2 linked regions of the Cricetulus griseus genome follow. The protein of the gene in region 1 purifies or fractionates together with the protein of each later gene. This does not show direct contact. Links are inferred from orthologs where the notes say so. Each region holds a gene or a part of one and is shown in the gene's direction. Other genes may lie near its edges.

Region 1 (4,580 bases):
ACAAATGGATCCTTACCCACATGTGTGTTAAGAGGGAGAGCAGATGTTGTGGGGTGTAGTTCTAGAAATAGCAAAGGCAGGCCTCTGGGGACTCCAGGTCTCCTCAGAGGGTAAAGGCAAGAACACTTACCAATTCAGCCAACACAGACTTCAGACTAACCAGCCCCCTCCCCCTTCACCTATCAATGAGGCTGCTACGGCCCTAGATGGGACCTGCTGTTTAGCCTTAGTGAGTACTAACTAAGGTGGAGTGGCATTTGATAGAGAAAGCAACTTGAAACTGGAGATAGGGGATAGGATAGAGGTGAGGAAAGGGCCCTGTTGGGCTGTAATACCCTGGAAGCCCTTCCTGGGTTTTGGAGAATTCAGATGACCTCACATAGCTGAAGCAGGCTTTTGTTTTTAACGACAGAGAGATGCCTTCTCAAGCTGTGACCACACCCTCATCAGGGCACAGGACCCAGTCACTCCATGACCAGAGTTCAGGGGAATACAGATTCCATGCTTCAGGCTGGAGTTTGTACCTAAGAGTGGGCAAGGAGGGGATTCATTAGGGACAGAATGGGGAGTTAGCCCTTTCCCTCAGATAAGCTGTTTTTGAGACAACACGGTCTGTTGTCTGCTTTTGTAGCCACTGGGCATCTGGGGTTGGGGGCAGCTGCTTTTCTTCTGCAGTCCCCAAACATCTGGCTTCCCGGAACTTTGATTCGGTTTCAGGGCCTTGGCTTTGGGAGAGGTTCTTTCCAGAGTCCTAAAATCGTCTAACTTTGACAAGTGACCATCTGCTGTATGGAAAGGTTTTTGTTCATTTACTTAAAGCTAATATTAAAGTGGGCACTTTCTAATCTGCAAACAAAATGACTTTAGTGGCTGGTTCAGAAATTCCCTGCTAAGGAAGCAGCTTGGAGAAAGAGTGGGGCCACAAAGCGCTTGGTTCCACCCCCAGAACAAAATAGAAGAGAAGGCTCAATATGAAAGTCCCAATACCACGCTGCTGCGGGGTGAGAACACGTGAAGACCTTAGTCTAGGAAACATGAAGTCTGGTTCTCTTCCTGGTCCACTTTGTCCCTAGGTGCAGATGGCAGACACAAGCTCACCGTGGCAGGTGTTAACCAAGACAGGAAGCTCCGACTATTAAGAAAACGCAAAGGAAGTTTTCCATGACTGCTGTTGGCCTCACCCCTCACAAAATCAGATTCCGTCCATTAAAATCAGGGCAATAATTCCTTGTTAATCACTTTATGTTGCTGTGGGGACCTCGAGGCTAAACAAAGCTCTCAAAGTCTAAAGAGCAATTCAGTAGGGCTGTTGACTAGCGACGTCATAATCTGCACATTTGGAAGTTTTTTCATTTGGCTGGTGCGAGAGAAAAGCAGAGAAGAGGAGGAGAAGGCTGCATCGCTCTGGTACCTGCTCCGGAAAAAGAAAAACAGAAAGAAATCCAGCTCTCCCGGGATCGAAGGAGAGTATCTAAGCCATCTCCAAAGTCAGAACTTCGGAAGGTGATACCAGAGTCGTGGTGTCGGGAACCCACTTTCCCAGCGCTGGGCATCCTCAGACCTGCAATCCCAGGTCCGCCTGCAGCCACCGGGTCGTTTCGCGAGCGCCCCCTGGAGGCACCGCCGAGCACTGCCGTGCGAGGGGCGGGGCGGGCGGACAAACCCGGGGTAGGGGGAGGAGTTTTGCGCGGATTGATGGCATCATCGAAGCGACTGGTCCGGAAGGAAGTAGCGTGCTGAGGGGTGTGGCGGTTTCTGCGGTTGCACGGGGGTTCAGACGTGTACGGAGCGCCTGGAGGGACAGCCTGGTACGCAGCCCCCGCCCCTCAGTGCACGTTGGGCCTCGCTGCGGCGCGGGGATGGAGCTGATCCTGGCAGAGCTCCAGAGCTCTGGACCCCGCAGCCGCTCACTTTCAGTCCGCCCACCCGGGAGCAGAGAGAACCCCTGTGTGTCCAGTCTCCTGCCCACGGGTCCTTCAGCGGGTCCGAGCGGAAGCTCTCGGACGTGCCTGTCTCGTGGAGGAGGGCGGGGAAAGGGCGCGAGGTGGGGCGGGGTAGTGGTGGTGGTGAGGGCATTTGCAGAGAGGACGCTACTGTTGCTCGGCAGCTGGAGGCCGCCACGGTAAAAAAAAAAAATAAGTTAGATCTGAGCGTTGGAATCCGCGCCTTGTGCCAATGTGCCGGTCCGTCACCATGGTTTTTCCAGACGCTCGGTCGCATCTCGGTGCCTGAACGTTTGGGACCCTCCAGGAGCCCAGAGTACCCCAAGCTGAGGCACTCCCAGTTTCCTATAACCACCGCACTTGGGGGCAAAGGATATAGGAGAGTTCGGTTTCAGTTTTGTTTAGAGATCTGACCCGTTTAAGTCCAAGGGAATAACTGGGAAGATAGATGACAGGCCAGAGAATTCCTACCTCGGAACTCAACTGCCTGCTGTCTCTCTCCTCAGAGTCCCAAGGGAATAACTGATGGTTTCCTTCGAAATGGCAGGCAATTAGAAGTAGGAGGCTCTGTCCAGAAATACATAGCCGCAGCTGCCTGTCATTTGACATCCTCTGTAATTTGGGCCAACACACTGCAGCTGCCTCTCTTCCCTTACTTACAAGTGGCTCCAGTGACAACACATTAATGAGTAGTGAAGAGAAGGCTGTGTTTTGAACCCTGCCCAGTTGGCACCGGATCTCTGTTAGGTATGCCTAGGGAGCTAGTGCCTGTTCGCTGCAGTGGGCATTATACTCCCACAATTAAGGAACCGAATGTTGACCAAGAACAAGGATGATATGAGATGTAGATCTGGCTAGCATTGTGTTTCTACAACAGTCTGCTTGTGAATCACTTTCCATGAACTACAGCTTGGTGAGCTACTCTCAGTGCTTCGGCCTCTCTCCTACATGTCAAGCCATGCATTGTCCCCTCTCTTATCTCTAGGATACAGGTTCACTGATGGCTCAGTTGGGAGCAGTTGTGGCTGTGGCTTCCAGTTTCTTTTGTGCATCTCTCTTCTCTTCTGTGCACAAGATAGAAGAGGGACATATTGGAGTATATTACAGGTAAGGCAGAAACAGGTGGCTCCTCTCCCTTGTCACTGGCTAGCAGATCCTGCCAACATCTGTATATTTTGTTAAATAGGGGGGCCCTTTTCAGGTGGAGCTTCTAAGGCAGTGGCAATGGGTAAGGGTGTGTGTGTGTGTGTGTGTGTGTGTGTGTGTGTGTGTGTGTGTGTGTTTATTTAAATTTAAAATTGTCATTAGCATTTTTAAGGCAATGCCGATACTTATATTTATAGGATTACAGACAGAAGTCTCAAGGAATCACTACTCTCTCATGATCATTTCCGAGACACTGTTTTCCCTTGCATCCCTTGAAGAATCTTGTCTCCACACCGCCAGGCTACCCCTTCAGAAGTTGTGGAGCCCCAGTTCTTGATGGCAACTTGAGAAGTGTGCTCTGCTAATTTGAGAGACTGTTTTGTGTTGTTGTTGAGTTTGTTTTCCAGCCAGGGTTTCTCTGTGTGGTTCTGATTGTCACGGAACTCGCTCTGTAGATCAGGCTGGTCTCAAACTAAGAGATCCACCTGCCTCTGCTTCCTGAGTGCTGGGATTAAAGGTGTGTGTACCACCAGTCCTGGCCTGAGAGAATGTTTTAAAGTGAATATTTCAAGAAAGTATAAAGACTCTGCAGGCTGATTTATAGCAATCAAGGCAACTTTGGGAGAGTGACCCTTTAAATACTCTTGAGTTACTTTCTTTCCAGTGGCTTCTTCGACTAAGGTTTTCGTTTTAGGTTTAGAAGGGGCAATTTGCTAGGCTGATAGTTTTGCTTGTGGTGTCAAGGATTAAACTCATGTCACTCTACCACTGAACTACACCTCCAGCCTTTATCCACTGCCCCATTTTTGAGAGAGGGTCCCACTGTGTAGCTCTGGCTAGTCTGAAATGGTCTGTGTAGACCAGGTTGACTTGAACTCACAGAGATTTACCTGCCCAAGCTTCCCAAATACTAGGATTAAATGCAGGCATCGACATGTTCGGCTTGAGCCCTTCTTTTATATGGGTCTTATTTAGTGCTTGCTTATGGAACAGCAAGCTCCAGAATGCTCGTTGAGTTAGAATTGTAGCTCAGTGGAAGTGCTTCTGACTAGCATACTCAAGACCACTAATTAAAAAATAATAATAAAAAGGTTTAAACTTTTGTTGAGTTCCCACTTCCTCTTTAGTAATTTGTCTCTACCCTCTGCTTTCTTTTCCCCCAAAGCTTTTAATTTTGTCACTCATATACAGCTTGATTAGAAATATACATGTGTCAAAACATATATTGTATACTTAACATGTATTGAAGTGACTTTAAAATTATTCTTGAACCAAGTGTGGTGGCTCAACACCTGTAATTCCACCACTTGGGTGAGGGCTGAAGCAAGAAGGCTACTATAAGTTTTGGGTCATCCTGGGCTATATATAGCAAGTACTACAGAAATCAGGGCTATGTAGCAAAATCTGTCTCAAAAATAGTGAGATATCGTATGTGAGTCCCCAGATGCTTCTGAAACATGGTGTAGCTCATGACAATACTTTACCACAATG
Region 2 (4,503 bases), on another chromosome or scaffold:
GGCTTGGGTAAGCACAAGAGGCAACTAAGTGAACAGTTGGTAACAGAGCAACGGTGTGAGGACATCACTAGTCCCTTTCCACACCAGAGGCAAGCAAGACGAAAATCCACAAAATATTAGAAGCTCCAGGCCTGCCCATAAGGGCTGTAACAACAGAAAGAATCTTTGGAGTAGGAGGAGGGGGCAGAAAGAATCCTTGGAGGAGTCTGTGAGGACCAGCAAAATGGCCCGAGAAAAAAGGGACTGGAGTGTGTGTGTGTGTGTATGTGGGTGGGTGGGTGGGTGGTGGGCGGGTGGGTGGGTGTCTCAGGAATCACAGACAGATGCATGGTCCCAGGGTGTGGGTGAAGGGTCTGCGCTGCAGCCTGAGGTTCCATCATGCTAGCTTCCTGAAAGTGACTTGTTTAGGGCCAAGTTTCCTGTGAGGGATGTATCTGTTCCTTAGGAGCAAAGGTGTGTGTATTTACACAGGTGCAGCTTTCTCAACATCTAGAGGACCTGCAGCCCATGATGGGTGGTAGAGGCTGCACCTGGCACATCCCACGTTAGAGACTCACTGCCATTAACAACTTTCTATCAGCTGAAGCTAGACAGCCCCTCCTGCTTTTTGCTGTTGAAAGGGCTCCCGTGTTGCTGTAAACTCACCCCCCCCCCGTGTGTGTGTGTGTGTGTGTGTGTGTGTGTGCGTGCGTGCCCGTGCAACCTTCACAAGCTTGCACAGGCCCGAGTGTGGAAAACTGCCAATACCCAATCTGCAACATTCCTTGAAGTCAAAGCTGCTTCGAGTTCTTGTGAACAACGCATAGAACCGCCAATACAGCTTAGAAGGTGATGGACGGGTTGCGAGGGAAAGGCGAGGGGAGCAGCCGCGCCGTCCACACCCGTGTGCGGTGTCACGCTGGGAAACTGACCTCCCCCGTCAACTTTGGGAAACAGCCTGCTTAGGAAGGTGACTCTGACTCTTTTGCCACCGAGCCACGCGTCTCACCTAAGGTCACGCGGCGCCCTTTCAGGCCTGCTCACAAGCCCTGTGGCTTTAGCCCGTGGGGTCTTGGCTAAGGGGCGCTCTGGACGGGGCTGTGAACCTACTGCCCCCCTGTCACCTGCGGCCAGCCAGGTGCCACCCCGCCCGGCCCCGGGGAGCCCGGGTCTTCTGAGCAGTAGGAGGGGTTTACGCTCAGGACCCTGGGGAAAGGGAGGGCCCGTGCGTTTCCGCATTCTTCCAGAGCCCGGGGTCCCGCAGCGCACGGAAGGGCAGGGCGGACTTTCGGTCCCACGTCCTGCCCGGCCCGTGCGGCGAGCACTCGCTCCGAGCGCGCGTGCCGGGCACCGGCCCCACCCCCCGGTGGCGTGTGCGCACGTCATATGGGCCGCCCTCCTCCCATTGGCTCCCGCCGCCTCACCAGACCGCGAGCGGACAGGCGCGCGGGCGGGGCGGAGCCGCGGGAAGGCACGCCCCACAGCGGGGCGCGCGGGCGGCGGATAGGCTGGGCGGAGTCACGTGACGCCACCGGCCGCCCGCCTTATAAGCGAAGCCCGCGCGGGGCCGCGGCCGCTCCTGGGCCGTCCGGGCGCGCTACGTGCGGTGTCGTGGCGTGCTCCTCCCACGGTGCGCCTGGCAGCCGATGCCCAGGCTGCACGACCACGTCTGGAGCTGCTCGGGCTCCGGCGCCGCGAGGCCGCACAGCCTCCCGCGAGGCATGATTGCGGCAGCCCGCTGTCCGCAGGGCTCCGGAGCCCCGGAGCCCGCGCCCCGGAGCCCGCGAGCGGGAACGGCAGGATGCGGCGCGCGGCCCGGCAGCTGGCACCACGACCTGGTGCAGCGGAGCCTCGTGCTCTTCTCTTTCGGCGTGGTGCTGGCCCTGGTGCTCAACCTGCTGCAGATCCAGCGGAATGTCACGCTCTTCCCCGACGAGGTGATCGCCACCATCTTCTCCTCCGCCTGGTGGGTGCCCCCGTGCTGTGGCACGGCAGCCGGTGAGTGCCCTCCCTCGTTCTTGGAGTCGGGGCGGGGGCAGGGACACGTCAGCTGTTGTCACCCCGAGCACAAGAAAGGGGACACGAGAGGGTTGGAAGCCCCAGACGCTGGCGAGCGAGCGACAGGCGGAAGTTAGAGGGACTGGGGATGGAGATGAGGTCAGGAGATAATTGGCAGTTTAAGTGGAGGAGTCTCGTGGAGCCAGAAGCGAGGATTGGCTGCCTGAAGAACTGGTGAGTGAAGCACCAGGCGGCCATTGGCTGCCCGAGCAAACGTGCTACCCCGCTGAATAACTGAAAACAAACCGTCACGTGCGCGCAAGAGGCTGTTGCCAGGGGACAGACTTCTCCACACTTCCTTCTGCTGATAGTGAGTGCTTTGTGGCTAGCAGCCAAGCCCTCTGGAACTCCGTGGCCCAGTAGACTTGGGACAGGAGTAAAGCAGGAACCTTTGGGCCCAAGCATACCTACCTATGGTGTCACCTCTCACGTCCAGTGAAACTTGTGACAATGCTAGTCTTTTTTTTTTTTTCTTTTTTTCAATCATTTTGCTGGTTTTACAAAAACAAAACAAAACAAAAAACCAGTCGAATGGTCACAGTCCAGTAGAACCCTGCATATCCCTCAATGCACAGCATTTATTCAAAAAACATGTCAGGTGTCCCCCACCACCAACCCCACAGCCTTGCTTGTGTTTGGCCTATGTAGGTGGGCAGTCTAAGCGCTGTTGCATCTTTCCTCCAGTCTGGTGAGGTGTGGGCACAGGACAGCAGGAGCTGCTTTGAAGCCAGCTTTTATTGACTGACTGCATAGGCTTTATATGCTGGGCTTGGATGTTGTGCTGTAACTGAGTCATGGGTTAAATGTAATACGCAGCGTACCTGCTGTTGATTCCCAAGGCTGCTCTCAGGCCCACCTGCAGTAAGTATTATGGGGTTCAGCTTTGTGGCAGTTGTGTGCTTCTGCCGGGAGGGTTGATGTAGCCATTGGAAGAAAGTTGTCCCCTCTGTTTTCAAAGCACTCTACCACTTTATGAACACTGTTTATTTGGGGCTGGGAATGGCCTCACACACATTAGGCAAATCATTTGCCACTGAGCTATTACCCCAGCACTTCAGAGTTCTTTGGGGAACAAGATGTGGATTTGAAATCTGGAACATCAAGCTTGTAATGGAAGTTTTGAGGAGTACCTGAGGTGGTTCCTCTCCTTATCGGAAGGTGTGGTTGGAGCTGCATTTCTCACCACTGACAAGTCCGAATGGCAGCCTAAGGTCTTGAATTTAGCTGCAGCTCACATGTGCCTTGTGTCCCATGGGGGCTCTCCTTGTACTGCAGGCAGCCCCTTCCTGGTTTTGGCTCTTTTGGTCTATTCTGGAATGCCTGGCTTGTGGCTGTCCGAATGTTTAGGGGTCTGGGTCTGTGACAGCTCCTAACTCAGAACACATGAGCCTCTTTCTTCTCTGCCTCCACTTTACTTACATAACCCTCATTTCACACATGAGGGAACAAACAGGAGGCACAGCCACCGAGGGCAGCCTGGGACTGACAGCAGAGCTCCCTTCCTGGGGCCCTGCCCTGCCCTCCCCACAGTATTGGACTTGTCCCACTGGGGTCTGATCAAGACTGAGAGGAAGCCATACGAGATAGCCCTGCCACAGCCTTTTCCACAGGGTATACGCACAACAGCACTCTGTGCTACAGGTGATAAACTGCCTAGGAAAGTAATCGGTTTAGATCCTATTAATAATGACCACACAGGGCTAATGTTAGCCAGTGTTTTCTAATCCTGTTTTGTTTTTCTTCAAATAGCTGTTGTCGGCCTACTGTACCCCTGTATTGACAGTCACCTGGGAGAACCACACAAGTTCAAGAGAGAGTGGGCCAGCGTCATGCGCTGTATTGCGGTGTTCGTTGGCATCAACCACGCCAGTGCCGTATCCTCAGTTGGTGTCCAGTTTATCATCTGGGTTGTGGCAGGGCAGATGTTACTGTGACCAAATGTTGCCTCATCCCTGTACCTTAGAGAAATTCTGGGATCCAGTTCCAGTTTCTAGGGTCTTTTACTCATCTTGGGACACTTAGGCTAACACAAGAAGCAGATGGACTCTCAAAGGACTTTCCATCCTCCCTCTTAGTTTCTCCCCCACTGACCTGCCTGTTCCAATGAAAGAGAATTAGTGAGAGCTTGCTCCTCTTGTCCGTCATAGAAGTCAAGGCGGGTCAGGCGGCCCCTGGGCCTCTCGTGTCCAAAGCTGACACACTGCCTTCAGTGCGCTGTGCTTTTGTGCAGTCTGCATTTTCTGTGAAAATGGTTTGATTTGATGGTAAACCCTTCAAATACTAAGTTTCTAAGGAGACTTGAAGTAAAAGATAATTGTCAAGTTGCAGTCCCACTTTGGGGGCTGTTTCTTTATCAAACGACTCACAGGTTAGCTCTGATAGTGCTGATTGACAAGCACTGAATTGACTGACTGACTTCTGCCTGGGGTGGCACAGAGACAGGGGTGGGGCCTGCTTGTTTCCACT

Evidence for each region.
Region 2: the proteins of Erlin2 (region 1) and Insig1 purify together in Homo sapiens (affinity purification with western blotting; 4 studies listed by BioGRID and IntAct, with this or other methods). This does not show direct contact. The link is inferred for Cricetulus griseus from reciprocal best matches to the Homo sapiens genes ERLIN2 and INSIG1.

The regions. Positions count from the first base shown.
Region 1 is NW_023276807.1:56,817,818-56,822,397, reverse strand, and holds the start of Erlin2 (erlin-2), read left to right. Parts: upstream 1-1,681; 5' UTR 1,682-1,808; exon of another isoform or gene 1,809-1,947; intron 1,948-1,984; exon of another isoform or gene 1,985-2,122; intron 2,123-2,928; 5' UTR 2,929-2,943; coding exon 2,944-3,050; intron 3,051-4,580. UniProt on the Homo sapiens protein: Component of the ERLIN1/ERLIN2 complex which mediates the endoplasmic reticulum-associated degradation (ERAD) of inositol 1,4,5-trisphosphate receptors (IP3Rs) such as ITPR1.
Region 2 is NC_048601.1:94,618,968-94,623,470, reverse strand, and holds the start of Insig1 (insulin-induced gene 1 protein), read left to right. Parts: upstream 1-1,551; 5' UTR 1,552-1,625; coding exon 1,626-1,977; intron 1,978-3,786; coding exon 3,787-3,911; intron 3,912-4,503. UniProt on the Homo sapiens protein: Oxysterol-binding protein that mediates feedback control of cholesterol synthesis by controlling both endoplasmic reticulum to Golgi transport of SCAP and degradation of HMGCR.